Linked DNA regions of Diceros bicornis minor. The protein of the gene in region 1 interacts with the protein of each later gene in a pairwise test. Links are inferred from orthologs where the notes say so. Each region holds a gene or a part of one and is shown on either strand. Other genes may lie near its edges. The genes, in order: TFIP11; POLL; CCND3; cytochrome c oxidase subunit 5B, mitochondrial.

Region 1 (8,417 bases):
GTCTGGATTATTCTCATCTGACCCTGTTCCATTGTAACAGCTGGTGTTTTAAATGGGTTGTTGGTTAACTTTTTTTTGGAAATAATTATAGACTCATGAAGTTGCAAAAGTAATACAAAGAATCCCACGTGCCCTTCATGCAGTTTCCCCCAATGCTCACATCTTATACAACTGCAGTGCAATATCAAAACCCAGAAATCGACATTAGTCCAGTGCTGCTGACTAGACCACAGACCTTATTCAGTTTTCACCATTTTTTGCATGTGTTTGTGTGTGTGTGTGTGTATTTTCAGGGTTTTGTTACCTTTTTTTAGTGGCAAAACCTTCCATATACCCTCTCCCACATAGACAAAATCACATCTAAAAGGTCAATCTATAAAACCAATAAACATGGCTGTTCTGATGAGGAGCCATCCTTGTCCCAAGCTCCAACTACTTCTCTCTGAAGCACTTTATCAAAGTCAGGGTTTTGCATTTATTGGCCTGGTGATTTGATTCAAGTTGGTCTTATGAGACTGTAAACTGCAGGAGTGAAGGGACAGTTATTTTTAATTGCTCCCCATTTATCCTCATTTCATATCTAGCGTATCAGGGCATGGGGGAGCCAGCTTCCAAAATGGCCCACAGTGATGCTTGCCTCCTGGTATCATGCTCCTTTTGTATGTTGTCCCTTTCCACACTGAATGGGGACAGGATTCCAGTTTAATACAGGATGGATGATTAAACTTGAATTTCGGATAAAGCAATGACTAACTTTTTAGTCTTTGACAGTATTTCATGGGACATATTTGTACTAAAAACTTATTTGTTGTTGACTGAAATTCAAATTTAACTGGGCATCTTCTATTTTTATTTGCTAAATCTGGCAACCCTAAATAGGGCTGACCATGCAGCCAGTAAGATATTCAGGGAAATGAGAGTGTGTGACTTCCGAGACTAGAGCACAGACCTTGTGGCTTCAGCCTTGTTCTCTCTTGAGTCACTCACTCTCGAGGGGGCCAGTCACCGTGTCATGAGGACACTCAGCAGCCCTGTGTCGAGGTTCACGTGGCAGGGAACTGAGGCCTCCTGCCGACAGCCAGCACCAGGCTTCCAGCTGTGTGAGTGAAACACCTTGGACATGGATCATCCAGCCCGGGTCAAGCCTGCAGATGATGACAGTCCCAGCTAAGGTCTTGACTGCAACCCCAAGAGAGACCCCAAGTCAGAACCAGCTAGCTAAGCCACTCTTGAATTCCTACCCAAAGAAATCATATGAGATACTGTTCACTGTCATTTCAAGCCACTAAGTTTGGAGTTAACTGTTACATTGTAATAGATATAATACATAGGAACCCACAAAATATTTGTTAATGAATGACTGAATGAATGAATCAATGAATAGATGAGTGATGAAGGCTGTGGTTCCTCAACTCACCTGTGTGCTTTAGAGGATGCGTGCTTTACAGATAATTCCCCAGGCCCACGGAACTTCATGTCCCAGCTTTTCTATATAAGGATAGAGTGTTCGCAAATTCTTGAAAGATAAGTAGGGTAGAAACCATCTGTAAGAAACATTTAAAGGGAAACCAGATCTGCTAATCTCAGCCGATCTGGATTTTCAATTCTGCCAAGTTCAGGGTACATTTTTGTGACAGAATTCAAAATAAGAATAAGCCATGTGCAACTGTATAATGTCACTGTCCTAGAAAAGGTACTTGTGCTAGACTTTAAATATCTCAGCTTTGAAATACCACTTACTGATTGTTTCTATGGTACCAAACTATTTAAAGTTGTAACTAGGCGAGGATTTTCCCCCCAGATCTTTTGAAGGCAATATGGAAACAGTGCTGTATGGCATAGGCCACATAAAGGGGTGATTAGGCGTGTGAACTCAGGGGGTAATAGAAACTACCTCAGAAGGTTAAGGAATCTAAGAGATGATGTATGGTTTGTCTTTGTGACTCTGAATAGACAGGAATCACTCTATAAGTATTAGCTCAAATAAGTAGAGAGAAATGGTGTGGGTGCCCCATGCATGGTACAGCAGAGGAAGCACTGGTTTGGAAGTCTGACTCCTGGGTTCCAGGCCTGGCTCTGTCTATAAACTCACTGTGTGGCCCTGGGCACATTGCCTCATCTGTGAAAAAAGAGGGAGGGACTAATGAGTGTCCGGGGGCCCTTCCAGGCTCCTGCTCAGGAGCCGTGTTGCCTAGCAACCCTTCTGGGAAGGCTACATGTCTGAGTACCTCATTGGGAATCTAGACACGGGCCTGGACGTCCCCGAGTCCCAAAGCAAGGGTTTTTCTGGGCAGTGACGAGAGACCAGGGTGGATATGAGATCCTGAATCTAAACTTCTGGCCACCTCTTTCCTTGCTTTTCCTGAGGTTGGGCATTTGAGCCCAGAAATCCTGAAAATCTACTCATCTTTGAGGCTGAGAGGCCTCCCGTGCAGAGGAATAAGACTGGGTCTTTTCAGTGGAAATAGCCACAACCATTTATGAAGCTCTTACTATACCAGGAACTTTACATGTATTAGTCAGCCTTTTTTTTTTTTTTTGTCCTAAAAATAACCCTTTTAGAGCAGTACCACTGTTATTCCCATTTTACAGGTGGGAGAACTGAGGTGCAGAGAGGTGATGGAACCTGCCCCAGGTCCCACATTCAGGAAGCAGCAAAGTGGAGATTTGGATCCTTGAAGTTTTACTCCAGAACCTTCATTTTGGAAAAAAATTCTAAGTTCATAAAGAAGACATCTTTTTCTCTTAATCATTTGAGATTGAGTTGCTTGCTGGATGCTCCACCACCCCCAAGACTTGAGTATTTCCAAAAACAAAGACACTCTCCAATGTAACCACAGGACAACCATCAAAATCAGGAAATTAACACGGACACATCACACCCTGGAAACCCCGGACCCCATTTCAATTTTGCCCTTTGTCCCAATAACTTCCTTTATAGCAAAAAGATCCAGTTCAGATTCATGTGTTGCATTTAGTTATCGTGTCTCTTTAGTTTCCTTCAGTCTGGAACAGTTCTAGGGTCTTTCTCTGACTTTCACAACATTGGCACTTTTGAAGATAACAGGCCAGATTTTGGGAGAATGTCCCCTTATTTGGGTTTGTCTGACGTATCCTCATAATTCCCTTCAGGTTATGCATCTTTGGCAGGAATATCACAAGAGTGATGCTGCGATCTTCTCAGGGCATCCTACCACGTGGTACGTGATTTTCATTTGTCCATTCTTGAGGACACACACCCTGGTCACTCGATCAGAGCCTGCAGTGACGCCACAACAGTCCACAAAGGTCTCTTCTCCAGAAGCCACATAGTGGGGTCCATTTGGTGAAGCAAACCCATCAGCCCCTCATGATCAAAGTAATTTCAGCTCCATAAAGTCTGCTGTGAAGCTACAGACATAGCTACTGAGAAGCCAAGCTTACTTCTATTTTTGGCTTTGGGCTATAAACAGAGGCATATACATTTTCAGGCCCAGACTCAAAATGGTTTATCTCATCTGTTTCCCTCAGTCTGCTGCCTAGTGGACATTTTGGTCTCTTAGACTCTGTCTCCCCGGCGTTCTCCTCTACTAAAACCTCACTTTCCAGTTTCTTTCCTAAGTACATACTTTGTGTCAGGCACAGTGACACTACATGTCACTGGGGATACAGAGACCAGTAAAGCACAGTCCCCATTCCCAGTAAGTTTTCACATATTGGGGTATATGGGGTAAGTATTTGATTCAAAACTAATTCAGCTTGAACTAAAAAAGATGCCTGCCTTTGGCCTATCAAACATACATTGTATATCTGCTTTAACCATAAAAGTAAAGCACGCACTCTCTTAAGAAAGTATCCTTCCTCTCCTACACCCTATTGGTAACGCCCATATTAGTACTCCTAAAATAAATTCCCTGTCCCGACATCAGGGTCATGTTGACCTGCTAATTTGCAACTAAATACCTCTTTGAAACTTTGATGAAAATGTATCCCGGGTGTGTTTAATATAAGTTCTTTGTTCTAAAAAGATATAAGACTGTAACAAAAACCATGTTTCTCCCCAAGGCTTTCTCTCCCCAATGCTTTCTTCCTGTCCTGAAAAGGCCTTCCCCAGCTATAACCCTCAGTCTGGCTCAAGTAAAACTCACCTCTCTCTCTTATCTATAGAATAGTTATTGGTTATTTTGTGTGAACACCAAGAACCTGGCATTTAATTGGCTTCACGGGATTCTCATTTAATTAATAACACCCACTCGAAGTTAGACCCAAATCTTTTCGCTCCAAAGCACACCAACACTTGCGTCTTGGATATTTTCATCATACGGAGGAGAGAGAGAAACAGAGCGAGGGAACATACGAAAACATTAACGGCTAACACTTCCCAAGCACCTACTGTGTACCTGGTTCAGTTTTAATTGCTTACATATTGTATCTCATTGGATCCTCAACCATTTTGCAGGAGAGAGAACTGAAGCTTCGAGAGATGGAATGACTTGCCCAAGGCCCAGAGCTGGTAAGTGGCAGAGCTGAGATTGGTACTCAGAGCCAGTGAGGGATTCCCTGGGAGGGCCGCTGCCTGGTTTGTTCATTGTATCCCCCGAGCCCGGCACAGAGTAGACAGTACATTTTTATTAGATCAGTGAATGAATGAATTTATTTATCAACCGGCTGGAAAGGAAGAGAATGGAGAGGCTTCCTGGAGGGAATACTTGGGACTTCTCGAGTTTGCCCATTCATTCCTTCACTCCCTCAAACTCCTACATAAGGCAACTGCTCTGTGCCCACGACGGGGCTTACCGGAGACCCAAGGACACAGGAGACAGTCCTGACCTTCATCATCCCCACCTGAATGCCGTGTTCCGGCCCCGCTACTGCCTCACGCGATTCCCCACAACCATCCCATGAGCCAGTCCTATACCCCCATTTTACAGATTTAGAATCCCAGACCGGCAAAGGCCACGGCGGCTCGGCGACGTCCAGCAGCCGCGACAGGCTGGGCGTCTCCACGGAGCGGGCGCGGCAGGGAGGCCAGCGCGGCCGGGAAGGCACCCCCAGCCTCTCGGGGGCCAGAACATCCGCGTCTTCTTTCTGGCGTCTCAGCCGGGCCGCTCTAGAGCCAAAGCCGCCGTAGCCTTCCGCTGCTGCCATGGCAACCAGCGCGCCACTTCTGCGGTCGCGCGACGTCATTTCCGGCGCGCCGGGCTCTGCACGTCCGGCTTCCGGCGTCCCGAGCGGCGGGGCTCTCGCGCGGAGCGGGGAGCTGTGTGTGGCCGGCGGGACCCGGGCGAGGTGAGCGGGCCGGGGGCCGGGGAGGGGGCGAAGGGGCGTCCGCGCCGGCGGGAGTGGCTGCGAGGGCTCGGGGAAGGCGGCCTCGCCGTGGGGCTTCCGTTTCGCCGACGGCTCTGCCGAGGGCGGGCCGCCCGGCGTCCCCGGGGAGTCGGGGCCGGGTCGGGCGGGGACCGAGCCTCCGCCGCGAAGTGTGCACAGCGGAGCCCGAGCCTGGGCTGAAGTCCCCGGGTGCCGAGCCCTGCCTGCCGCGGGACCTAGGGCAGGTCGTGTAACCGCGCTCAGCCTCGTTTTCCTTATCTGAAGCCTGTACGGAAACGCCGGTAGTCTCCACCTCGTGGACGGGTCTTGATGCTTGCATTATCGGCCTGAAGCGTCCAGCCAGTGCTTGGCGTGTGTGGAGGCCTCTCTAACTCGTGACAACTCTAATTATTACTCTGCCCAGCGGCGTTATTGACTCCCATGTAGCTGGGACCTCCCAGAACATCTCCCTCCTTGCACTCCTGGATGAGCGTGGGTCCACCAGCACCCAGCCAGTGCACCAGAGACTGGAACAAGCAGGGAGAACTGTGTAACAGAGCGGACCCGAGTGTGACACTGCCTGTGGCGGTAGTGAACTCCTGTCCCCAGAGGCTGCTTGCAGCAGCTGGGCGACAAGAATCACGTCGCTGTCACACAGTGAATGTATTACTGCGTAGTGCACCATGCTTGGCACTTCGTGTGCATTTAATACTCATACACTGAGTACCTGGTAGGAGTGGGATTTGAAGTCAGGCTGTGATTGTAGTACCTGATTTCACACGCACTTTGCTAGGTTCATTCCCTAATCCAGTAATAGTGATGATGATCCTAATCTTGGCACTCCAGTAACAGCTCTTGTTCCTGGAGCACTTATTCTGAGCTAAGTGTTTTTTAAGCACCATCTCATTGAATCTGACTTATAAGCATTCTCAAAGGTTGGTATAGTAGTTAATCCATTTAAGAGACAGCTAAATCTCATCACCCAGCTACCAAGAGTTGAATTCTCTATTCCAACCCATAGATGTCTGACTGCTAAGGTAGTGTTCATAATTAAGACTGCCTTCCAGCTCATCAGAGGAAAACTAAGTCTTAGGGTTTCATCATCAAGTAATGTATTTCAGAAAGCTTATTCTCAAATATCACCCTCCTGGGACTGCCAAGGGTCCAGTATAACTCTTTCCTCAATGATAGAAAAAATAATAAAGTGTAGGGTCCTGGAAGATGACCACCCAGTTTTGGAGGCAATAATATATAGAATAACATACTTATTTAGTTATTTTTGTGTGGTTTGTGTATATGTGAGTGTGTGATTTTTATGACATTGGGACTAGGAAATACATGCTTGAGAATCACGTAGACTGTTGGGACTAGTCTTTTCTTCCATCTGTTATCGTACCGATTGTTTTCTAAATGTTTATGCTGAGGAAGATTCGCCCTGAGCAAACATCTGTTGCCAATCTTCCCTTTTGTTGTATGTGAGCTCCCACTATAGCATGGCCACTGACAGACAAATGGTGTGGGTCCACGCCTGGGAACCAAACCTGGGCTGCCAAAGCAGAGCATGCAGAACTTAACCACTAGGCCATCAGGACTGGCTCTGTTCTATTTTTGCTGAGGAAGATTTGCCCTGAGCTAACATCTGTTGCCAATCCTCCACTTTTCGCTTGAGGCCCTGAGTTAACATCCTTGCCTATTTTCCTCTATTTTGTACATGGGTCGCTGCTACAGCATGGCTGACAAGTGGTGTAGGTCCGCACCTGGGATCCGAACCCACGAACCCAGACTGCCGAAGCGGAGTGCACCAAACTTAACCACTAGGCCACTGGGGCTGGCCCTTGTTTTCTAAAATAAGGTTTTAACGTCTGCTTTGTTGAATTTTAACAACGGTTTTAAGGGACCGTGAGTTTGGAGGAAGTTCTGAAGGCAGCAGGGAGTAGGACTCACAGGGAATCCTTCTCCTGCTATGCCCAGGACTCATCACAGACTGTGCCTTTTTCATCCCTTCCTTTAGTGACTGGCCATGTCACTGTCCCACTTGTACCGGGACGGGGAAGGCCACATGGATGACGATGAGGACGAGCGGGAGAACTTCGAGATCACCGACTGGGATCTCCAGAATGAATTCAACCCCAACCGGCAGCGCCACTGGCAGACCAAGGAAGAGGCCACCTATGGAGTGTGGGCAGAGCGGGACTCGGACGAAGAGAGGCCCAGCTTTGGAGGCAAACGGTACTGGCCGGCATGGGGCTGCCTCCTCTTGCTTTAGGGAAGACGGAGAGGGAGTGGGGGAGATACCCCCATAAATATACTTCTCTCCTGGCCTTACTGAGCCCCTGCGCTATGACATCAGCTAGGGAGGTCCTGTTTCCTCTTTAGGCTAGAGGGCTGCTCCTTCACTGATTTGATCATCAGTTGGTGTCTGTTGAGTGATTACGTGTATTAGGCATTGCGCTATAGACTCAGTCCTTGCCTTTCAAGATCCCAGACTCGAGTGGATGGAGACAGGCGTTAATTAACAACTCACACAATGGAAGTTCGTAACTGATTTAGGACCTAAGGGAGAGCACGTTTTAGGGTGTTGGACCTATTTGGAGAGGTCAGGAAGATTTCTCTGGAGAAGCCATCCTTGAGCTGAATGAAAGAACGTAACTAGGGTAGGAGAGGTGCGGGTAAGCAAAAACCCTTAACGGGAGGCCACAGGGTATATCCGCGAGGACGCGAAAGGCTTTGCGGGCTGGAGTGGAGAGAGGGAGGGGAGCACAGTTTGAGAAGAGGCCGAGGGTCTGTGGTAGAGGTGTGGCGTGGGGCGGGGCTGTGTCTGCACCCTTGGCTGGTGTGCAGAGTTGTCGTGGAGTCACAGTGGAAGATGGAGCTGTGTGAGGAGGCGGTGGTCCCTGCAGAGGGGGAGGCCTGGGCTAGGAGGGGGCAGGGAGATGAGGATTCAGGCCGAAAGTCCCCTCCTCAGTTTGAAGTCACGTGTGCACTGGCTACAGCTCGCTTGACCAGAGTGTGTAGCAGGTGTGGGTGTCTCCCTGTCGCCATCTGTGCCCTGTAGGCTCCAGCCCGTTGCTACTGGGGAGAAAGAGTATAGAGATCAATTCAACCCCTTCTCATCTGGCAGGGAAATGTAA
Region 2 (7,899 bases), on another chromosome or scaffold:
TCTTCTCATCATATTCTTCAGCCATTTCCTTCCCATCTGGGAACAAATAGTGCACCTTCCTTCTCCCTACGCACAAAGAGAGAGTGCCTTACCCCCACGCCTCCTCTTGCCTTGCCCCTTGCAGATCAAGGGGTCTACCTGGGAAACACCGACAGCCTTGGGGGTATTGAGACACCCTCCCAGAGCCTCCCATGAACTCCTTGCCAACCATCACCCACCATTACTTTAAGATGTGTCCCGGGACTCACTTCCTTTCTGAAGCTTTCTCTGAACATGTCTTTGCTCTGCTGCTTCCTCTACCAGCAATAGCTCCATACTTCTTCCCATCTTTTGAAGAAATCCCCACTCTTCAAAATCAAGCTCAAATGTCACTTCCACTGGGAAATCTTCCTAAACTATCACTCCCAGCCACATTAGCAAAACTCATCTCTTCCCTGTTTGTGCCTCCCTAGTGCTTTATTCATATTCATAATGGAGCATTTACCACATAGTGTAATACTCTTAAAAGCATCTTTCTCCCCAGTTCCTAAAACCAAGCCTATGTGCTCAGAATATTGAAAAGGATATTGACCAAGCACTCCCTTTAGCCATGCCATTGCTCTGCCTTCTTTTGCACATCTCTAGGCCATTCCTATCACACAGCCAAACGATGTTAGTCCCCATGTGTCTTCCTCATGGCATTTACCTTGGTTATGATTTTACATCTATTTGTGTGATTCTTTGATTATTGCCTGTCTCGTCTACTAGACAGGAGAGGTTTTATCCCCCCTGCCTATGGTTTCCCTAACACCAAGCATAGTACCTGGCATATATTATGTGCTCAACTAAATACTGATTGAAAGAATAGATGAACACTGATTCATCTTTCATTGAAAAAAATGGAATAACCCAAGGGAGTCTCCTAGCCCAACTCTTTCACCTATCTAGTATAATCATAAGCATTTTCTTAAAAGTGGCTATGTAATTTCCCCTATTTTTACAGATAGGTAAGTAGATATAGGTAGTTCCTGAGTGAGACTAATAACAGAGGACTAATGCCCAGTAGACGGTTTCCCAAAGTATGCTTGACGAATAAGAGCCCCAAGGCCCCTAACCAGCTGAAGGTGCCACTAGCTAAAACCTGCAACTGTATCTGATCTACCAAGCCTTTTTCCTGTCCAATTCACTTCCCTGGGACACACTTCCCTTGAGTAGTTCCTAATTTGCATTCTAGGGAAACTTCCCCAAATTTGCAGGGCCCCTCAGTACGCCCCTAGGTCACACCACCCTTAATCATTTGGATGGCTCATAGAGCTGGAAGGGGTTTTCTTGTCAGGAGTGGGGTACAAGGTGCTGCCTGCAAGTAGCTGAGGGTGTATGGCCTGACCCTCTTCTCCCCCTGCAGTCCAGTCTTGAGTCTAGGAAGGATGCAGTGCTTACTACTGGCCAGGCACTTTACATGTTTTATGGCATTTAATTCTCACAATAATCCTATGTGCCCGCATTACCTGTATTTCACAAATGAGAAAAATTGAGGCTTAAAGGTCATGCAACTTGTCCAAAGTCATAAAGCTAGGAAATGACAGACCCAGGCTTAAACTCACTTGAGGCCAAAGTCCATGCTCTAATAACCACACTAGGATAATTTGTATGGCTTTAAATATTTGTAAGGTTGAATATTGTTCCAAGGGTTTATTGGTCATGTTTCTAGTGAATTATCCATTTAGGCCTTAGCTTATTTTATTTGGGTGTTCATCTTTTTCTTACTAATCTGATTGAGCTTTGTATGTATTAACCATGTGTCATATATGTTGCAAATACTCTCAGTTTCAATTGCCTTATAACTTTGTTTAAAGTGGGTTTTCCCAAACAAGTGTTTAATTTTTATATAGTCAACTACTTTTTCTTTTGTGGTTACCACCCAGAAGTTATGCTTACAATATCCTCCTTTACCCAAAGATTATATAATATTTATTTATATTTTATTCTATACATATTTATTCTATATGTATATATGTATGCAGATATAAAAAATTTTAAGTATATTAGTATGATATTTTGGTAAAAGAAAAAATATATATGTGTGAGTGCATATGCATGGAAAAAAATATAGAAGTTTATGTATGAAAATGTAAATTATGATTACCTCTGGAAAGCAGGATTATGGGTGACTTGTTTATTTTTAATATTTCCACAATGAATACAAATTTTTCTGAAAAAAATTTAAAGCGTATCAGGTTCTCAACATTGTTTTGTGATGCTATTAACAAAAAAAATTTAACAAAATCCTGGCTGATGAAATATTTGTTTGAACATTGTCCTGTGACCAACGGAAGTGAAAGCAGAGACTAGAACAGATATTTGTACACCCACGTCCATAGCAGTATTAGTCACAACAGCCAAAAAAGTGAAAGCAACCCAAGAGTCCATCAACAGATGAATGGATAAACAAAATGCGGTATATACATACAATGGAATATTATTCAGCCTTAAAAAAGGAAGGAAATTTTGACACTTGACAACATGGATGAGCCTGGAGGAGATTATGCTAAGTGAAATAAGCCAGTCACAAAAGAACAAACATTGTATGACTCCACTTATATGAGGCTCCTACAGTAATCAAATTCATAAAGACAAAGTAGAATGGTGGTTACCAGGGGCTGGGGATAGGGGGAGTGGGGAGTTAGTGTTTACTAACATTGAAGTAGATGAAAAGTTCTGGAAATGGATGGTGGTGATGGTTGCACAACAATGTGAATGTACTTAATGCCACAGATGTACACTTAAAAATGGCTAAAGGGGTTAGTGCTATGTTATGTATTTTTTACAATAAAAACAAAAACCACTGTCCTGAGACAATATCCAAAATCTAGCTTGGCATAGGAGAGCTATCACAAAATGCCCCAATTTATCTGCAATCTCTCTTCATTTTCCACCATTTCCCCTCATTACTCCTTGAGAAAAGAGACCTGTTATTCATCCTTGCATCCTAGCACCTGGCACTTGACATGGTGTGAGGGATTGTTATGACTGACGGGGTGAATGCTTCAGCCTCACTAAATATTTTGTTACTCCCCTAGTAATCAGCATATATTTTCACACCTCCATGCCTTTACACGTGAGCCATTCTTCCTGGAACAGCCATGCCCTCTTCTCTACTTAGCAAACACCTATTAATTCTTTAGGATCCATAAACATCACCTCTTCCCTCAGGTCTTCCTTCAAAGAGATGACTTCCACCTTCCTGCTCTCATAGCATTTTATAGAAGATTCCAGTCTCTATTTAACACATACTATTATTTATTTACATGTCTTTTTCCTGACCACTCTGTGAACTCTCGGGACAACATGTCTTTTTTTTTTTTTTTTTGTGAGGAAGATCAGCCCTGAGCTAACATTCATGCTAATCCTCCTCTTTTTGCTGAGGAAGACTGGCTCTGAGCTAACATCTACTGCCGATCCTCCTCCTTTTTTTTTTTCCCCCCAAAGCCCCAGTAGATAGTTGTATGTCATAGTTGCACATCCTTCTAGTTGCTATATGTGGGACGCGGCCTCAGCATGGCTGGAGAAGCGGTGTGTCGGTACGCGCCCAGGATCTGATCCCGGGCCGCCAGTAGCAGAGCGTGCACACTTAACTGCTAAGCCACGGGGCCGGCCCCAACATGTCTTTTTCTGTCTACTCTAGTACACAGCTTGGCACATAGTAAAAGCCTCCCTAAATACTGCATAAATGAATAAGTGAATGAGCAGCTGATTTCAATTTCCACGCTTCCCTGATTGGCCTCTGTGTATGGATGTGAATCCCTAGCTGGTATCCTGAAAGCTAAAGGAATTCAGACCTAATTCATTCTGGCTGCCAAGTGGGTCCAGGAAGCGACCCTGACGCACAGGGAGCCTCATACAGTCCAATCCTAGGGTGAGAGAAAGTCAAGACGCTATACTCCCATGCCCACCTCTTCCAGGCACAGCCCTGGGCCCTTGCTCTGTCTCCCCTAAAGACCCAGGCAACATTTACAGGTTCACTTACAAACATAACACTACAGCTGGAAAGGACCTCAGAGATAACAGAGGTAGCCCATCCATCTCATTTTACAGATGAGGAAAGTGAAGTCCAAACAAGTCAAGGGCCAGACTGGGAGCCCACGGTGAATTAATGACAGAGTCACAATTCTGTCACAATTCTAAAGCCCAGGTTTCCCGCCCCTCCATGACACCAGGCTGCCTTCAGCAATAGAACCCCTAGATGGAGGTTCATGGGATCCCAGGTACAAATCCAGTTGTACCACTGACTGGTTGGAGCAGCTGAGGCTGGTCTAAAATATTCTTGAATTTCCGTTTCCTCTTCTATAAAATGGGGTGGATATTAACAGCCTCTCGGGACAGCGATGAGGAGCAAATAACATATTGAATACGAAGGGAATTCTTATTTATTAAGTAACAGAACTCAGAGCGGAGTGGGGCGGTGTAGAGGAAACCAGGGGGTGTCCAGAGACGCGTGTTCCAGTCACATCATCTCTCTGGGCCTCAGTTTCCTCATCTGCAAATGCAGGACCTGGCCTGGCTGGCGGCCGCGACCCTTCCAGCTCTGCCGTCCCAGGCTGAGGCCCTTTCTTGGAGGCACCACCGCGGAAGGCAGGACTCTGGGGGAACGGACGAGGGGACTCGCGGGGGGCCTCGAGTTACCGTCCTGCAGTAGCGCCGTCTTCTCAGCCGCCCGCAGACTCTCCAACCAGCCTGTCACCGCCATTTTCCCTCCGCCCAGTCGCGCGCCCGGACGCTGCCATGGCAACCTTTCCGCCTAGGGTCACTTCCGGCTGACCCGGAAGGTTTCTGGGCATTTGCCCGTCCCCCCCCACCCCCGCCCCACCGCCCACGCCTTCGTCCGCTCTTAGTGGCCGCTTGGTAAGTGGTTTATTCCTGGCCACCCCCGGGTGACCCGCGGGGACTGAAGTGGAGCCCACCCGGGACCGAATCCCGGGAGGGGGAGGGGGCAGGGCCCCCTCAGGTTGGGGTCTCGACACCCCAGTCCCTCTGTGGTCCCCAGCTGTGAGTCCCTCATGCGCGCCAGCTGCGTACGCGGCGGATGCCCCACACCTGCCGGAGTCTTCTCTACCCCCAGCTGTGAGGCGGAAACTTCCCCAGTCCCGGAAGGCGCCCCACACCAGCTGCGGCCGTGCCCCATCTCCACGCAGCTGCGGGGCTGAGCACCCGCATGCCAAGAACCCGCGACTAGGGCAGGTGCAGGGCGTTCCCACTGCCCCCCTAACCACCCCCAGGTTTTCCTCTGTGGGTCTCTGATGGGGTTAGAGAAAGATTATGTGGAGTTTATGTGCCCCGCAGCCTCCACTGCTCTTGGGAGCTCAAGGGCTTACTAAAGCTGTAGCTTCGTTTCCTAGCCTGGCGTCCCCTTTCGGTAAATCCCTTTGGAAGTGGGATGCAGCAGGGGCAGACACTGCGCTGAATCTTGAGAGCGACCTCTCTGAGGAATGATATCGTTTCCTTACTCTCAAAAGTTCCCCAAATAGCCTCACTCTTCCCCCCATATACCCCAATACTCTGGCTTGGAAAGGCTGGTGAGTGTAGAGGTAGGCTAAACCACTGGCGTTCAATTTGGTTTTGGGAGACCCCTGGGAACTGGGCTACTGCCCCCAAGGCCTAATCAATAGAGACCCCACCTCTATAGGCAGAGGGGTTGGGGAACCGCAATTCTGGGTTTCCACAGGACAGCTGTTATGATCAGCTCTCAAACAGAAAGGTCAGGATCCAGCCATACCTCAGTGGACCCCAGGGGCATCCTGAAGGCATTTCCCAAGCGGAAGAAAATTCCTGCCAATTCATCATCAAAAGCATTTGCAAAGATTCCCAAGAGAGAACACGGAGAAGCAGCAGGAGGTGAGCAGACCCACCCTCAGAACCCTCATGTGCTTGAACTCTCAGGCTTCCTACATTGTTCATGTTCAGAATCAGATGTTAGAGCTGACTCTGCCCACCCAGGGCCTGCAGGTTTATTTGTACTTGCCTGGTGCTAGGCTTGGTCCCAAGTCTTTGACCGGCCGCTGGCTGGGTATCTTCTACCCCACCCGAGACCTCTATCAATCAGAAAATACTCCCTGGTCACTAAGGAAATGACCAGCAGAATCCTTTGCTCTCAAGGAGGTGGGGGGAAGAAATCCCACTCAGGTCCCCAGAGTTATAAGTTATTTTGCAACCAAATTGACAAATAGATGGCAAAGACCTAAAAGGGGGTGGGGAGGGGGAATCTGTGAGACTGTGAGGCCTGTAATGGCAAAACATGTGTGCCTTGTGCCTGGTACACAGTAGTAGGTGTCTATTAATATTTGTTGAAAGAATAAATGATCAGATGAAGTGATTTATAGGATACCTACGATGTGCCAGACACTGTCCTAGGTTACACGAGGGAACAGGACATATCAAAATCCTTGCCCCTTACATTCAAATGATGGCCCATGAGTAAATTAGCTATATGCTTGTGGTGGAACCTTCAGAAGGCAGGCTGTCTGGATGGAAGGAAAATGATTGTCTAGGGGCGGGGGACTGCAAAGGGTTCTTTAGGATATATGTGAAAGTTATGACAACAGGCATCTGGATGTCCCCTCCACAGAGTGGCTGAGCTCCCTGCGGGCCCATGTAGTGCCCACTGGCATTGGGCGAGCCCGGGCAGAACTCTTTGAGAAGCAGATTATCCAGCATGGTGGCCAGATATGCCCTGCCCAGGCCCCAGGGGTCACTCACATTGTGGTGGATGAAGCCATGGACTGTGAGCGAGCCCTCCGTCTCCTTAGACTGCCCCGGCTGCCCGCCGGTGCTCAGCTGGTGAAGTCAGCCTGGCTAAGCTTGTGCCTGCAGGAGGGAAGGCTGGTGGACACGGCAGGATTCAGCATCTTCATCCCCCACAGGTGGGCTGGTCCCAGTCTTTCTTCAAGTGTTTTCTGGCAGCATCTTGAGCACTCTTCTTGGCTTATTAAAAATAACTCTCATTGTCTTAAGTGGACACAGTGGAAAACCAAGATTTCATAGTAGAGAAGGATTGGGAGGGGCCGGCCCGGTGGCGTAGTGGTTAAGTTCGCACGTTCCACTTCCGGGGCCTGGGGTTCGCTGGTTCGGATCCTGGGTGCGGACCTACTCACTGCTCTTCAAGCCATACTGAGGCAGCATCCCATGTGGAAGAACTAGAAGGACCTACAACTAGGATATACAACTATGTACTGGGGCTTTGGGGAGAAAAAAGAAAAAGAGGAAGATTGGCAACACGTTAGCTCAGGGCCAATCTTCCTCAAAAAAACAAAAGAAAAGAGAAGGATTGGGGGCAGAGATAGGGTGAGATCTTTGGTGTCTTAACCTCCCATCACCATCCCTGTAGGTACCTGGACCAAACACAGCTCAGCAAGGCAGACCAAGACTCTTCTACTCCTCCTAGAGCCTGTGAGGCTCTGCTCCGTACAGCCCTCTCTCCTTCCCCTTCTCCTACCAGACTTGTGTCTCCTCCCCGGAGGGCAGAAGAGGCTCCAAGCATCCAAGCCCAGGTCAGGAGCCTCCCAGCCCCGACAGCTCCCTTCTCCTAGGAATTAGATCACAGAAACAGGGAGGGCCTGGTAGAGTTGTTCAGAAAGTCCCAGGCCCCTGCGAGAGGAGGGTTCTCTTTATTATGAACCACTTAGTTCTTCCCAGCACTCATCACTCCTGCATTTGCCCAGGCCATATCCACCACATACCACTGGGGATGCCAGGGCTGGGCTCTGGGGGAAGCCACATGGAAGACAGCCCCACACTTAAGGAGACCCAAGTCTGATGCAGAAGACCCAGCCTCATTCTTGGATCTTACCAGGAAATTCGTCCCCACCGACAAGGAGCCCTCCTCATGGGGGCAGGAATTTATTCTCTCTTCTCCTTCCCTACCTC
Region 3 (8,392 bases), on another chromosome or scaffold:
ACTGGGGCTTTGGGGGAATAAATAAATAAATAAAATTATAGAAAAAAAAGTACAGTTTGGGAAGCGCTACATAGACCTTCAGTAAGTTATTTAATTCCATTGTACCTCAGTTTTCGCATCTGAAAATAAATCTGAGAGGGTGAGACAGTGGATTGTAAACACCCTGACCAGTGCCTGGTACATAGTGACATCTCAATTCATGTGGATCGTCTTCCCCTTTCCAGGAACTTACACTCGGGCTAGGGAGAGAGCAGGTCCAGAACCAGCCAAATGCAGGGCATGTGCAGTGGGATCTGCAGGAGTTTGGAGGCCAGAGGGTAGGTTCCTGCAGCTGGATTGTTCTAGGAAGGCTTCCTGGAGGAGGTAGGACCTGAACTGGGCCTTGAAGATTGAATACATAAACTGAGAAGAGAGGATAAATGGGCTGACCAGTGACGGAAGGGGGACTAAGGAGATGGGGAAGGCAATGAAGAACCTGCTAGGTTTTTAGAGGTCTACAGAGAAGATGATTCTGCTACTCTTTTTCTCTTTCTCATATCATTGTCTAACTGGAGTCTTCCCTGCTATCTAACTTACATCCCTCTTGCTGCAGTTGAAGGACACTTCTCCCTAGAAGTGGAGGGCAGTGGTTATTTCAGACTAAATGAGCTTTTGGTGTCTTGCTTAAGCACCTTTTTACCTGATATTGGGGTAAAGACCAGGTGAAGTTCCTTAGACAAAAGTGGCAGGAATTCTGAGGGCCAGTTCCCAGTAAAAGTCTTTAGCCATAAGTAACCAAAAGAAGGCATCATCTAAGATGCAAGAGCCAGGCCCAGGGGTGCTCATGGCAGGGAAGTCAAGGGAAATAAAGAACAGATTGTTAAATCAGGGCGGTGGGACACAGTGGCTGATCATTTGGGAAAACTAAAGCTAGACCCCCACTTAATATGATACCACTGAATAAATGTAGGTGACAATTTACACATTAAAAAAAAAAACAACAAAACTTTATTGTATGTACTCTTGAAAATGCAGATTTTGGGGGCCTCATCACATACTCAAAGAATGAAAAGCCCTGAGGCAGGACTCAGAAATCTGCATTTTTGGCAAGCTCTTTGGGTGATAAAAAAAATCATCTGTAAGTATTTCCTACATTTTCTTCTAGTACTTATATAACTTTAGGATGGGGAAGGCATGATTCAAAGGCAAAAATCATTAAAGAAAATATCAGTAAATAAGGCTACATAAAAATAAAAACCTTTTATTATTTTTTTTAAATTTGTAACCACTTTTATTTTATTTTTTTATATTTATTTATTTATGTATGTATGTATTTATTGAGGAAGACCAGCCCTGAGCTAACATCTGTTGCCAATCCTCCTCTTTTTGCTGAGGAATATTGGCCCTGGGCTAACATCCGTGCCCATCTTCCTCTACTTTATGTGGGACGCCACCACAGCATGGCTTGACAAACGGTGCATTGGTGCGCACCCAGGATCCGAACCTGTGAACCCTGGGCCGCTGCAGTGGAGCGCGCACACTTAACCGCTACGCCACCGGGCCGGCCCCATAAACCTTTTATTTGTTAAAAAAAAAGAACTTCACCATGAACCAAAAATGAGACGGAAACAGTGAACTAAAATTTGTGACAAAGAAAAAAGTATGAAAAAGGGTTAATGTCCTTAAAATATAAAGAGCACTTATAAATCAATAAGAAAACAAACATCCCTATAAAAGAATGGACAGAAATATGAATAGGTAATTAATTTACCTAAGAAATGTAAATAATATGTCAAAATATTATTACCAATAAATCACTTTTCATCTCTCGTTTTCTTTCTCCATAAAGAAAAGTGGTATATAGGCCGGCCCCATGGCTTGGCGGTTAAGTGCGTGCACTCCGCTGCTGGTGGCCCGGGTTCAATCCTGGGCGCGCACCGATGCACCGCTTCTCCGGCCATGCTGGGGCCGCGTCCCACATATAGCAACTAGAAGGATGTGCAGTTGTGACCTACAACTATCTGCTGGGGCTTTGGGGGGAAATAAATAAATAAAATTAAAAAGAAAAAAAAAGAAAAGTGGTATATATATATACAATGGAATATTATTCAGCCACAAAAAGAAGGAAATCCTGCGATTTGCAGCAACATGAATGGACTTTGAGGGCATTATACTAAGTGAAATAAGACAGAGAAATACAAATACTGTTTGATTTCACTTATATGTGGAATTTAAAACTCCTTACTCATAGAAATAGAGAACAGATTGGAGGCTGTCTGAAATGGAGAAAGGTGCTCAAAAGGTACAAATTCCCAGTTATAAGATGAATAAGTTCTAGGGATATAATGTACAGCACGGTGACTATAGTTAACGATACTGTATTGTATATTTGAGTGTTGCTAGGAGAATATATCTTAAAAGTTCTCATTCAAGAAAAAAAATTATAACTATGTGAAGTAATGGATGTTAAACTTATTGTAATAATTTTGCAATGTATACATATATTAAATCATTATGTTGTATACTCTAAACTAATACAATTGATATATGTCAATTATATCTCAGTAAAGCTGGGAAAAAATTTTAAAACAATGGTGATTAACTCTCTCATCAAAGATACACAGTCTGGGCCAGCCCGGTGGCTTAGCGGTTGAGTGCGCGCGATCCGCTGCTGGCGGCCCAGTTTCGGATCCCAGGCGCGCACCAACGCACCGCTTCTCCGGCCATGCTGAGGCCACGTCCCACATACAGCAACTAGAAGGAGGTGCAACTGTGACATACAACTATCTACTGGGGCTTTGGGGGAATAAAGGAGGAGGATTGGCAATAGATGTTAGCTCAGAGCCGGTCTTCCTCAGTAAAAAGAGGAAGATTAGCATGGATGTTAGCTCAGGGCTGATCTTCCTCTCTCACACACACAAAAAATACACAATCTTCTAACCTGAACAGTCCTATTCGATAATTCTGAAAGTAAAGAAACACCTTCCTTCAAGACAGATCTGGTTTCTGGTGATGTACTTACTTCAAAAGCTAGATTTTTTTAGTCTTCCTGCACCTTAAAAACCTCTTACACTTCATTTTTGCCTCCCCATAATTTCATACCTAATCTTTATAATTTTAAATCTATTGTTCTTTTTAATGAAAGAGTGCAATGCAATGAATAATTAGCTAAAGAAACTTCATACTTATATTTCTGAAGACAGGAGTAAAGGACTTACAAGATTAGACAAAGCACGTGACACATTCATGTTGGCACAACAAGGGCTCTTGAATTAAAAAATATAAACCACTTTTCATCTCTCCAGTTGGCAGAGTTGTGGTTTTTTTAAAATAGATATATAATGTTTGTTCATTAGATTGGTTCAGCCTTTCAGCAGGGAAATTTGGTAATAAGAATTGTATCAAAAGCCTTAGAATGTTTCATAACCTTAGATTGAGAAATTCCACTTCTAGAAATTAATTCACTTCTAGAAATAATCATGAGTCTGCACAAAGATATTACCACAAAAATATTTTACATATTGTTTCTAATAGAGAAGAATTTCCACCAATACAGATTTGGTAAAATGCATTATACATTCACCGAATGGCATACTGTGTAGCCATTAAAAATAATGTTGTAGCATATTTAACGACATGGAAAAGTGTTAACAGTATATTTTTTATTGACAAAAATAGCTTACAAAACAGTTTGCGATCTCATTTTGAAAAATATGTGTTTACTTATAGAGCAATTTTAGAAAAATAAACATTGACGTTTTAAAGAGTTATCTCTGGATGGTGAAATTGCAAGTAATTATTATTTTCCCTTGTTTTGTGTGGCTTATCTGTATTTTCTAAGTTTTTGCAATGCGAATGAATATTTCCATGATTTGGAAACTACAATAAGATTTATTCTATAAAAAAGAACAATTCATTGAGAAAATGCTTAACATAGAACTTGCCTTTTCTGTCCAGTGTCATTTCTCTAGTAACTCACTTCCTTAGTGTCTCCTCCCTTGGGAGGACCCCAGGAGAGGCAGAGATCCCCAAGGCCTCCTTCCATTGGAGCATAACTGGAGGCCTGTGGTCTGCCTCTTGGTCCTGTGGAATCCAGCTTTGGGGAAAGTTTGGGAGGTAGAAGAAATGGCAACTGGAAGATTTTGTAGAGTCTGATCAAGAAACTCCTTCAGAGAGGATCTAGTTTCTCCGCCCACTCTTTCCTCAAACAGAAACTAAGGCGGATTTCAGGGCTTGTCCAAGGCCACAGAGCCAACTTAATGACAAGGTGAGGCCTTGAATCCATGGCCTTTCCGCCCTGTTGTGTTTCTGTAATGTGCTGATTTCGACCAGCCCTTCTCACGCTTTAATATGCGCAGGAATCACGGGGATCTTGTTAAAATGCAGATTTTGATCCAGCAGGTCAGGGGTGGACCTGAGGGTCTGCATTTCTAACCAGCTCTCAGGCGGTGCAGATCTTGCTGGTCTGGGGATCCCAGTTGAAGGAGCAATGGCGTAGAGCACAGATTCTGGAGGCAGACTGTCGGCTGCCCAGTCCCAGCTCTGCCGCAGACTGACTGCATGATTGTTATAGTTACTGTGCTTCAGTTTCCTCGTCTGCAAAATAAGTGTAATACCTAACTCATGGAGTTTTCGTGAGGATTTAATAAGTTATTACACTTTAAGTGCTTAGAACAGTGTTCACTAAGAACTAGTTATTTTATTATTTATAGTCCCTGGAGCAAGCAGTGGGTGAAGTAGGGTCTGACGAATGAATGAATAACCATTGCAGAAAAGTTCTTTCCTGGGCAACTAGAGACAGAGAAGCAAAATGGGAGGGCTCTTTGCTGGGGAAGAGGCCCACCTCCAAGATAGTTCTCTCCACTGGGTGGTCAGAAGGGCCCGGAGCGCCCGGAAGCCGGCCGGCCCGCGCCGCGCCGACCAATGCGGCCGCGGGGAGGGAGGGGGAGCGCCCGCCAGCCCTTTCCGTCTGGGCGCCGGCAGCCCCGCCCCTTGGAACGTTGCGACGCTCGAGCATTCCACGGTCGCTACCTCGTCGCGAGGGGCGGGGCGCCTGTCAGGGAAGCGGCGCGCGCGCCGGCGCGGGCGGGCTGGGGCTCGGCCGCGCAGTGCCAGCGCCAGCACCAGACCCGCGCCCCGCGCTCTCCGGCCTGCCGCCTGCGTTCTGGCTCGCGAGCCCGCACTCTCGCCCTGCCTGTGCGCTGCCCGAGGATGGAGCTGCTGTGCTGCGAGGGCTCCCGGCACGCGCCCCGGGCCGGGCCGGACCCGCGACTGCTGGGGGACCAGCGTGTCCTGCAGAGCTTGCTCCGGCTGGAGGAGCGCTATGTGCCCCGCGCCTCCTACTTCCAATGCGTGCAGAGAGAGATCAAGCCGCACATGCGGAAGATGCTGGCGTACTGGATGCTGGAGGTACCGCCGGGACGGGTCTCCCCTCCCCCTCCGCCCCTGCGTCCCCGGCTCCGGACATCCCGGTGCCGCCCTATAGGGACATCCTGGTCCCAACAACAATCAACAAGATGCTTCGGTGGTCCAGACCCCCGGTTTGGCCTTCCACTCGGGCACCCTAGCCGGCTGCCTCCGTGGTGACCCGTTCCCTTCCCCAGCCCTGACTCTGACTGCCAATCATTTGGCACCCTAACCAATCCCCTCTTCGGGCCAGGAAAGCGGGACAAGAGCCACCCTCTCCCCTCCGGCTTCTCTCAGCGTCTCCTACTTCCCTCCCCCGCCCGATCTTCTCTGGAGTGCGCGCCTGGAAAACCCTGGGCTCGGCCGCCCCCGCCCCAGAGCCGGTTCCTGTGTCTGTCGCGGGGTTCTGGCGGGGAAGGCGGTGGGGGTGGCGCGCGCGCTGTTCCGGCCGTCAGGGAAATGAAAAGTGCGGGAGGCAGCGGCAGGAGTCTCCTCCCTTCCCTTTGGGTGTGTGCAGTGGGTGGTGGTAATGGGGGTAAGGTCCCAGCTCTCTGGCTAACATGGGTGACTCTTCCGTTTCTCCCCCTCCCCCCCGCTATGGGGGAGGGGAGTCTCAGTTTGGAATCCTTATTAAGGAAAGGAGCCTCTGGCGTCCCCCACCCCCCAGGGGAGGGGGAAGGAGGCAACGCGGAGGAAGTGGGGGGCGTCACCTTGGGGAGGACGCATCCTCCTCCGTATTAGTCCTTGACATTATAAGTACACTTATCCCCCTCCCATTTTTGCTCTCCACTCCATCTCCCGTCAGCACACCCCCCCCCCCTTTAGTACTGCTGCGTTTCCCACGGCCCTGCCCAGAAGTGACTGTGCCCACCCCCCCCAGGTATGTGAGGAGCAGCGCTGTGAGGAAGAAGTCTTCCCCCTGGCCATGAACTACCTGGATCGCTACCTGTCCTGCGTCCCCACCCGCAAGGCGCAGTTGCAGCTCCTGGGTGCGGTCTGCATGCTGCTGGCCTCCAAGCTGCGCGAGACTACGCCCCTGACCATCGAAAAACTGTGCATCTACACCGACCACTCTGTCTCTCCCCGCCAGCTGCGGGTGCGTGCATGACTCCCCCCACCCCCAACACGTACTGCCTCCTCACTTACCAGGAAAAGGAAAGCTAAGGCCTCAGAGGCTTTCTGCCCCCTGGGGAGGGAGCATGGCTACCAGAGGGCAGAGGCTATGTTTTTGGACAAAAGATGGGGCTGTGTGGTGTGATGGTTAGGGTAGCCCCAGCCCCAGTGGCTTGAGCTGCTGGCAGGAACTAAATCTCCTTCTCCTGACCTCCAGGGGGTGCCATTCCTTCCTGGTCTTTCCCCCAGATCCCAACAAGTCCAACTGCATGTCTACACTCCTAGTACTTTGCCTCTGGGTTTACACAGCCACCATGAGTTATTTATTGGCAGTAGCAGGACATGCCTGTACACCCCCACTGGAGTGGGGGAGTGGAATGTGCCTCATGTGGGGGAGGGGGGCTGCTTTGGTTGAGTCTTGATCCCAGTGTGGACTTTGTGATTGAAAAGCCTCCCAGAGCAGATTAAAGCCAGGCCCTGATTGCTCTAAGGAAGGGCCAAGGAGTTTCATCCTACCTTCTTTCCTTCCCCTTATATCCCAGAAGAGACGGCTCCTTCCTAATCCTCCATTCCCTGTCCTCATTCTGAGGAACTTGAGCAGCTGCTTTGGGCCTGGTAGAACCATCTCTCCCTTTCCCCCTTAGCCAAAGGCCAGAGCTGAGGGACAGACAGGGAGCTGAACTGCAGCTGCTTCCGATGTGATAATGATGCCCCCTCCCCTGGCCCGCCCACTCTGACCAAGGTCTTTCATAACCCTGTGGGGAGCTGCTGTCACTCCTGTGGTTTGGGAAGTGGCTCCCTGGGCCTCTTGCTGGGAACTTGGGCTGGGCTCTTCCCAGGGCAGGAGGGCAGGAGGGCAGGAGGGCCCCGGGTTCTCTTTCCCCACTGACCCTGGAGAGGAGGTGGCAGAGCTGCCTGGATCTGGAAGAGGTTATTCGGGGCATGCAGATCATCTCCTGGGGAGGCCTGGGGGAGAGGGTGGGTGAGCTGGCACCTTCCCCCACCCTGCTCTCTGTCCGCCAAGTCTTCTGCTGACCCTGAGAGGAGTCTCTGGGCCCCATCTCCAGGGGAGGAGGGCAGCATGCAGGCTGCTGTGATTGGCTGGCCAGGAAGCCAGGGTACTGGGGCCCCCGACTGCTGCTTGTCGAGGAACAGGATTCCTCTTCCTGCCAAGTAGCTCTCCGAGATGGGAGTAGGAGGCCAGAGTTGGGAATCTGGGAGGCCCCACAGCTCTTTGTGATGAATCTGGTAGTTTTTGGCAAGTCTGAAGGTGGAGCTGGTTTCCAGGGCTGGCGACCAAGATGTTTCCAGAGGGGTTTGGGCTGGAAGGTAGAAGGGGACTTCCTTTTTGTGAAAAGACTGGGATGGTATGTGTGTCTTTGTGTGACGGGAGTTTTTCAGAACAGGCAAAATGTACTCTTACTCTTCCCCCACTCCCTCTGCCTGAGCTGGGGGTGGAGCGTGCAGATGGCTTCCTAGAAGGTCAGAGTTGGACGGGATCTCAGAGAACTCCAGTCAGTCCAAATCCTTGTGCAGCAGAGAAGGTTGAGGCCCAGAGGAGGAGGGAAGGGTCCTGCCTCAGCCTTGCACTGAAGCCAGTGAGGAGAACGTGGGTCTTCTAGCTAGCCCAGGTGGCCTTAAAGGCTAGGGATGTGGGGGAAGCTGCCAGCCACTGCAGCTCATCGCCCCCAAGGGTAGGTTCTCCACCACACGAGGGCTGAGAGTCTCAGGGGTTGCCCGGACACAGGATAAGGTGGCTGCCTTCCCTCATACAGGTCCCCATGCCTCCCCACAGGAAAAGGCCACTGCAAGTTGCCTTCCACATGTTTCCTTGGAGGCCAGCTGTTTTCTCTTCACTTTTGAGTTAGGAGTCTGGCCACTGGGACAAGCAGCG
Region 4 (7,179 bases), on another chromosome or scaffold:
GGTGAAAGAGGAAGAGGAGGGAAGGGAGGCTGAGTGAAGTACAAGAGGGGCAGAGCTGGGGCTTAAGAATAGCGAGTGAAAGAGCCGCCAAGCTCCCAACATCAATGGCTCGGCCAAGGGTGACAGTCACAGGCCTGTCATGGTGTATGGTTTTCTCCAGCAGCGCTAGCCACCTTGGAAGCAGGAGCCCAGAAGATAAATGGCTGGGCCAATTTAGTATTGGGTACCAATGGGCAAGAGAGCAAGGAACTGAGAATGCCCGTGACAGTGTGGTTGCACCATCTGAGCAGGGGATTGTCCCAGGTAGAGACCATGCTGGTCGCTCCCTGTCTGTCCCTCCAGACCCACCCTGCAGCCTTCTCTCCACTTTCTGTGCCTGAGGGGCTGTCCTCCATGGCTCCCATCAAGGGACTCTCTCACCCTCTGGTTTCCAGTTAGGTTCACTGGCAGGACAAAAAGGGTGGGAGGAGAGAGATGTCTGCGTTTGTCCGGCACCTCCACCCCGCCCTCTCTGCCAAGGCTCTGCTGCTACAGCTCTCACCAGGTGCCAATACCGCCAGGCCCAGAGTGGTCAGAGCGTCCCACCGTGGCCGTCTCTGGTCCTCACCATCCCTTGGGGCTCCGTCAACCCTGCACATCCCTCTGCAAGCAGTTCTTTACTAAACTCTTCCATGTGGTTCAGTGGGGCCCTAACAGACTTAGGAAGAACAGGGGCTGGCCCAGCAGGAGGGGGTGGAGGCTGGTTGAGGAGGGGAAGGAAGAGGTGAATGTGGAGGAAGAGAGGAATATTAGGATTTCCCAGGTGGAGCTCAAGTTCCTCTCTGGAATAATAAATGGAGCTCGTGTGTGTGTGTGTGTGTGTGTGTGTGTGGAAGATCAGCCCTGACCTAACACCCGATGCTAATCGGTTTTTTTTTTTGCTGAGGAAGATTGGCGCTGAGCTATCATCCGTGCCCATCTTCCTCTACTTTATATGGGACGCCGCCACAGCATGGCTTGACAAGTTGTGCATTGGTGCATGCGTGGGATCCGAACCTGCGAATCCTGGGCCGCTGCAGTGGAGCGCGCGCACTTAACTGCTTGCGCCACTGGGCCAGCCCTAAATGGGGTTCTTTTGGATTGGGAAGGGGGGTCAACCGGTGAGAGAAGGGTCCTGGGAGGGGAAGGGTGGCAAATTCATGTTTTCTCCTGTGTGAGGTGCCCTGTGCTGCCCCACCAGTTCACTAGACTCCTTTTGTTTCTTAAAAAACCACACACACACACACACACACACAAAACCTTTAACTAAGAAGCCTCCTCTGATCTCTCTCAGCCCCAGCTGCAGCCAGGCCCTCCTGCTGACTAAAGGTCCAAGTGACCCATTTTGGATTTGTGGCATCTCAGTTGGTTCTGACCTGGCTTTTCTGCTGGAAGGGTCCCAGCTCTCAGCAGCCTGCTGGAGGTTCAGCCACTTTGTCACATCTTCCTCAGGTCTCCTTAGAGGGCCCTCGGGGTCTGGGCTGTCCCTGGCTGATATGGGATCTGGGCAGGCCTGCATAGAGCACCATCTCCCCCAAGCCCATTTTAATTAAAAACTGGCCTAACTTGTACCTTTGTGAGTGGTCAGGGCCTCTGATGTTGGAGCTGCTCCTTCGGGCAACAGAATTGCAGATTAGGCCCCATTTTTGACCCCATTACTTTAAGCTTGTGTGAACTCTGCCCAAACCAAGAACAACCTCCTGCCCTTTCTACTTTAAGATAGATTCAAGGCAGAACCCACATTTTACTCACTCCTGAATAGTGACCAGCCTAGGCCCATAGAAAGGACTGGATATAATCTTCCTAACATTCTAAGAGTCTGTAAGTCAATAAGATAATCTCCCCAAACAAGAATATGAATAACCAAGAAATGTTTATTTCATTTCTGAATACGTAATACATTCACATAGTTAAAACAAAACCCCAAAATAGTATAAGAGGTCTCACCCCCACCCCTGCCCTCAGCGGCCCAGTGTCCGTCCGACCCATTGTCCCCCCACTTCTTCTGCCTCCCCTCCCCAACGCATACAGAGGTAGCTACTTGTGTTAGCTTCCTGTGCATCCTCCCAGAGTTCCTCTAGGTAAACACAAGCAACTATGAATATACTGAATAGAAGTTTTTAAGCCAGCATTAACTGAGCGCTTACAATGTGGTAGGCACAGTTCTGAGCGCTTTACAAGTGTTAACGCCTTCAGTCCTCACAACAGCACCAGAGGTAGGTGCTATGCCCATTTTAAAGAAAATGAAACTGAGGCAAAAGGAAGTTAAGGAGCTTACCCGAGTGGCTGAGCCCGGCAGTTCACAGTAGAGGAAATGTAAATGATCAATAAACATATGACAAGATGTCAGCTGCCTTAGAAGTCAGGGAACTGAAAATGCAGACACCAAGAGCATCTGATTTTTTACTCATCCCTGGGTGAACTTTGCACAAGGCCCGCAACTCGCAGGCCATGGCGGTAGGGACTGGCACTTACACACCCTGCTGGCGGGAGCATGAATTGCTTCCAACTTTTGGGAAAACAACCTGGCAGAATTTATGATAATGTGTAATGTACACACCCTTTGACCTTATTGCCCAGAAACGAAGGCTCCAGAATATAAGGCTATATGTACACAGACATGCACTGCAGCATTGTTTGAGAGGCAAAAACCTAGAAACCATCAGATTATTCATCAAGGGGGAAATGGTCTGGGAGATTACAGTACATTCATAGTGGGGAATATTATGCAGCAATTACATAAAATGAGTTATATCTGTATGTATTGATTTATGATGTCCACAAAATATTTTTTTAAGTGAAACAATCTACTTACTAATAATTTGCATAGTAGTTATATATTTTTGTGTCTTATATTCATTTATATATCTGTACACTTTTAAGAAACATCCCAAATGTGTGCAATTGTTTGACTATGTCTATATGAGCATTCAGCAGTGATTCTCAGTCGAGGGCAATTGTGCCCTCTAGGGAACACAGGGCAACGGGTGAAGACACTTTTGGTTGTCCCCACTGGGGAGTGCTACTGGCATGGCTGCTGAATGTCCTACAATGCATATAGGACAGTCCCCCACCCCCATGCCCTGCAAAGAATTATCCAGTCCAAAATGTCAACAGTGCTGAAGTTGAGAAACCCTGGCATAGAGAGAAGAAAAGGGTAAGCACAAAACTGTTAACAAGTAACTTTTTCCTTACACATACATGTTGTTTGACTTAGTATAATGTGCATTTTTGACTACTAAAAATTATCCTATAAAAGTAAAAAAATAATGCTCAATAAGTTTGCTTTGGCAAAGACAATGATGGAGCAGGAGTGGGAGACTGCTCTCCAAGCCAAACTATTTCCCAAGGAGACATTAGGGGGCAGGGGTGTGAGCGGAGGGTGGTGGGAGCTGGAGAGAGCAAGGGATGGTGGGGGTGGGGGGTGCCTGGAGCCTGGTCCTGACAGTCGAGCTCACTCGCATAGTGTAAATAATCCCAGGGATTTTGTGAGCTGAACAAGGACCAGCAAAAATGTCCTAGGATTAGGCGAGCCTACTATGAGAGTGAGAAACAAGCTTAAACTCTATTTCCATTTCATAGTCTGGAATGAACCATCTTATGGTCAGGCGGCAGGGACTTGTGACACACCAGAACTGACATTTCTCACTGGTCCGCTGAGAGTTGGGTTAGTAGGTGTTTCTTGGCAAAGAGTGGTCAATTAAGATGGTAAAACTCTGGCTTAAACCACAGGTAAATTAAACAGGATACTCTGTTTCAGGCCTAATCAGAACCTTTAATATGCTAGAACGTGCATCTCCAAGATGGTGGTCATCAAATGCAAGACTTCCGTGTCTTGTGGCCCCAGAACGTTCTGTGACTCCTTTTCCCATTATCAACACCCCTCCCTTAACCTCTCCCTTGGTTAATTAACCTCCCGGTGTAGTCACCCCCTCACTCCCACATCACCAAGGGCCTTGGTCCTGGGAGGGGTCCTAAATCTGGCCCTACTCTCCTCCCCTCCCCGGGCTCCGCCTCAGGGCTGGACCTCAGCGCTTGTAATGACCTCCTCACCCCAACACAACTGTCACAGGAAACTGATGCCAGGACTGCGGGGAGGTCCTGCGCAGGTTGTTCAGGACTGGGCGATGGAACAAGTTCGCGGTGGCTCACCCACTGCCAGGCGAACCAGCGTAAAAGTCAACACAGTGGCTTTCAGGAAGCTGCTCCTAAAGTTCAATCGTTTGGGGTCCAGCAGGTGTCGTGACAGACGCGGGCTTAAAGACTTCATCAGCAGCCTCCAGGTTTACCGAGCACAACTATCAGGCAAGACGCACAGGAACTCGAGTATGGTTACCCATTCTACGGACGAGGTCACTGAGTCCCACGGACGCAAAACGAGTCGCCCCAAATCTCAACATTAGTGAACAGCTGGGCCGCAAGAGCCTACAACAGACCCCGTGCCCGCCCGCACACCACCAGGGCTGGGCAGCGGAGGCAGTGAGGCAGAGCTGGGCATGCGCAGCCGTCGTCGTCCCCCGCGAGTCACGTGAGCGGGGCGGGCTCCGGGGCGGACGGAAGCGGAAGGCTGAGACGGAGGGGAAGATCCCGCCCCCGGAAGTCCCGCCCGCCTCTGGAGCCCGTTCTCGGAAGTGCTGTTGTTTGTAGCGGGCGTGATGGCTTCAAGGTTACTTCGCGGAGCTGGAGCGGTGGCCGCGCAGGCCCTGAGGGCGCGCGGTCCCCAGGGAGTCGCCGCGGTGCGCTCTATGGCGTCTAAAGGTACTCGTCCCGCCGGGCACGCCGGGGACCGGCGCCGTCGCCCTCCCGCGGTGGGGCTAGGGCGGCAAAGCGGGGCTGACCGTTCAGCTCCTCGGGGCCCCGGTGACCGCTGCGCAGCCCCCGCCGGCGTCTCCCTGTTGTTCCTGGCTGCCCCTGCTGCCGCCCTCCGAACTGACCCTGCTGCGAAAGACTCCTAAACGGAGATGCCGGGTGACCTTGGGGGACAGGAACTGCAGCGGGATGTGGGAGGCTGAGCCGCCGTCAGACCTGCGCCCACCTCAAATCGGAGGAACCCCACTAGGACTCTGATGGGTCTGCTTTTAGGAAAAAAATGTGTCGAAAACTTGGCCTCCGTGGTTGAAGGAAGAAAAGATTCCCCCCCGTGCTGCCACTTTTGGGGATCATTGTCTTGGGGGACAAGGTGTATGAGTAGCCTTTAGGAGCTTACGAACTGTATGCAAAGATTTATGTATGTGCGTTTTCCGTCGTGATCATGTCAGACGACATCGTAATTCACGGGTCTTCCTTTAGGTGGTGTTCCCACTGATGACGAGCAAGCGACTGGGCTGGAGAGGGAGGTCTTGGTGGCTGCACGCAAGGGACTGGTGAGGAGAAACTCCTTTCTGTGTCTTCTCTGGAGCTCGTGGTCTTGGGTGGGATCAGAGCAGTCCCCTCTCTGGGAGCATTTGATGCAGGAATCCTGGCTGGTGGGAATAGTACCGCTAGCCTCTGGAGGGTAGGGGTCATTTGGCATAACGGCTCAATTCTTGTTTTATCAGGACCCGTACAATATACTGGCCCCAAAGGCAGCTTCAGGCACCAAGGAGGACCCTAATTTAGTCCCCTCCATCACCAACAAGCGGATAGTGGGCTGCATCTGTAAGTACCTTGCCACTGTTTACTTATCCATTTGTTTAATATATTCTACTATACAGCATGTCTGTAAGCTGCTCCATATCTTTTGCATGTCTATAAAGAGGAGATGTGTGTAAATGAGTTATTCTAAGGGTCCTGGCCCTCTCAAGCCTCGTTAGTCTGAGTAGGTCATCCTTACTGTAAAGAGACATAGACCATCATTAATACTGGCTCATTGGCGATGCAGCATGAAGGAGTACTCCTGCAGAAAATATTGTACTTCCTCTTTGCCAGACACCATTTGAGGCACTAGGAATACAGCAGAACGGACGCTGCTTTGGGATTCTATTTAGGCAGTGGAACTGTTAGAACTATAGTGACTCTGATACGAGGTCAGTTTACTCACAGGTAAACTCAGGGCCTCAGTTTCTTTATCTGAAAAGTGGGGAGGAGAGCTTGAACTGATCTCTTAAGATGTCAGCCATAACTTTGTGCCTCAGAGGTGTCTGAGGATGAGACTAATATTGCAAGTCTCCCCTTCTAGGCTGGATGGCCTTCAACCACCTTTTTCCTTTCAGGTGAAGAGGACAACAGTGCTGTCATCTGGTTCTGGCTGCACAAAGGCGAGACCCAGCGATGCCCTAGCTGTGGAGCCCATTACAAGCTGGTGCCCCACCAGTTAGCCCACTGAGCCTTTGCACTAACTTACTCAAAATGTGCTGTAAAGTTTCTTCTTTCCAGTAAAGACTAGCTATTGCATTGGCCTCTTCTCCCATAGTTGCCTGGTCTTATTTCTTTTCGGTATTTTTGGGAAGGCATGGGTGATGCTTGTATCAAGAATAGCTGTCTCCTAATATTAGCTTATTATCCACTTGCATACACCGAGATTGACAATCTCATAATACAGTGCTTGGGACCACCTGGTATGGGGAAAGCATGGGCTGTGGAGCCAGGCTGACTGGACTTGTAAGAGTGGCTCCCTCATTTAGCTTTGTCACTGGGGGCATGCTCTCTGAGCGTAGGTTATGTCTACCAAAAAAAGATAAATACCTTCTGAGGTGTTAGAGGTAATAATAACATATAAAGAGCCTAGCAGATGGTAGGTCCTCACAGTATTATTAGAAAGGGACCTTGTGAGGAGCGTTTTGGGGGCTTTAAAGTCTTGAGGGACTCAGGTTTAAAACATAGTTCATGGGGATACCATCAGCAAAATCTAGAATATGGGACAATTCCAGAAACCAGTGACCAGTTTCTTCAAATAAATTGCGAGGAGGAAAGAAAATGTAGAACCTGTCACGTGAAATGGTTGTGAGGGAGATACCAAGAGCAATGCGTGGACTGTTTGGATCTTGATTTGAAAAACCAACTGTAAAAAAAAAATATGTAATTTGAACTCTGGATATTCAATATTTAGGGATTTATTAAATCTTAGTTATTAAAATTTATTAAATTTTAAATCCAAAAATTTAGGGATTTTCATTAAATTTTAAAATTTAATGAAATTAAGTTTTTAATGCTTTAGAGATATGTACTGCGGTACTGAGAGGT

Evidence for each region.
Region 2: the proteins of TFIP11 (region 1) and POLL interact in binary tests that used the Homo sapiens proteins (3 or more experiments, as listed by UniProt). The two-hybrid records come from large-scale screens. The link is inferred for Diceros bicornis minor from reciprocal best matches to the Homo sapiens genes TFIP11 and POLL.
Region 3: the proteins of TFIP11 (region 1) and CCND3 interact in binary tests that used the Homo sapiens proteins (3 or more experiments, as listed by UniProt). The two-hybrid records come from large-scale screens. The link is inferred for Diceros bicornis minor from reciprocal best matches to the Homo sapiens genes TFIP11 and CCND3.
Region 4: the proteins of TFIP11 (region 1) and cytochrome c oxidase subunit 5B, mitochondrial interact in binary tests that used the Homo sapiens proteins (3 or more experiments, as listed by UniProt). The two-hybrid records come from large-scale screens. The link is inferred for Diceros bicornis minor from reciprocal best matches to the Homo sapiens genes TFIP11 and COX5B.

The regions. Positions count from the first base shown.
Region 1 is NC_080774.1:20,626,792-20,635,208, reverse strand, and holds the start of TFIP11 (tuftelin-interacting protein 11), read left to right. Parts: upstream 1-5,198; 5' UTR 5,199-5,268; intron 5,269-7,297; 5' UTR 7,298-7,306; coding exon 7,307-7,515; intron 7,516-8,417. UniProt on the Homo sapiens protein: Involved in pre-mRNA splicing, specifically in spliceosome disassembly during late-stage splicing events. Intron turnover seems to proceed through reactions in two lariat-intron associated complexes termed Intron Large (IL) and Intron Small (IS).
Region 2 is NC_080745.1:66,687,664-66,695,562, reverse strand, and holds the start of POLL (DNA polymerase lambda), read left to right. Parts: upstream 1-4,835; 5' UTR 4,836-4,881; intron 4,882-4,909; exon of another isoform or gene 4,910-5,701; 5' UTR 5,702-5,711; coding exon 5,712-5,871; intron 5,872-6,601; coding exon 6,602-6,896; intron 6,897-7,360; coding exon 7,361-7,523; intron 7,524-7,899. Other genes in the region: protein DPCD, read right to left, coding at 1-66, 2,126-2,191, 4,663-4,726.
Region 3 is NC_080753.1:23,495,711-23,504,102, forward strand, and holds the start of CCND3 (G1/S-specific cyclin-D3), read left to right. Parts: upstream 1-5,072; 5' UTR 5,073-5,190; coding exon 5,191-5,388; intron 5,389-6,265; coding exon 6,266-6,481; intron 6,482-8,392. UniProt on the Homo sapiens protein: Regulatory component of the cyclin D3-CDK4 (DC) complex that phosphorylates and inhibits members of the retinoblastoma (RB) protein family including RB1 and regulates the cell-cycle during G(1)/S transition.
Region 4 is NC_080779.1:15,641,508-15,648,686, reverse strand, and holds cytochrome c oxidase subunit 5B, mitochondrial, read left to right. Parts: upstream 1-4,645; 5' UTR 4,646-4,673; coding exon 4,674-4,776; intron 4,777-5,307; coding exon 5,308-5,381; intron 5,382-5,555; coding exon 5,556-5,655; intron 5,656-6,209; coding exon 6,210-6,322; 3' UTR 6,323-6,401; downstream 6,402-7,179. UniProt on the Homo sapiens protein: Component of the cytochrome c oxidase, the last enzyme in the mitochondrial electron transport chain which drives oxidative phosphorylation.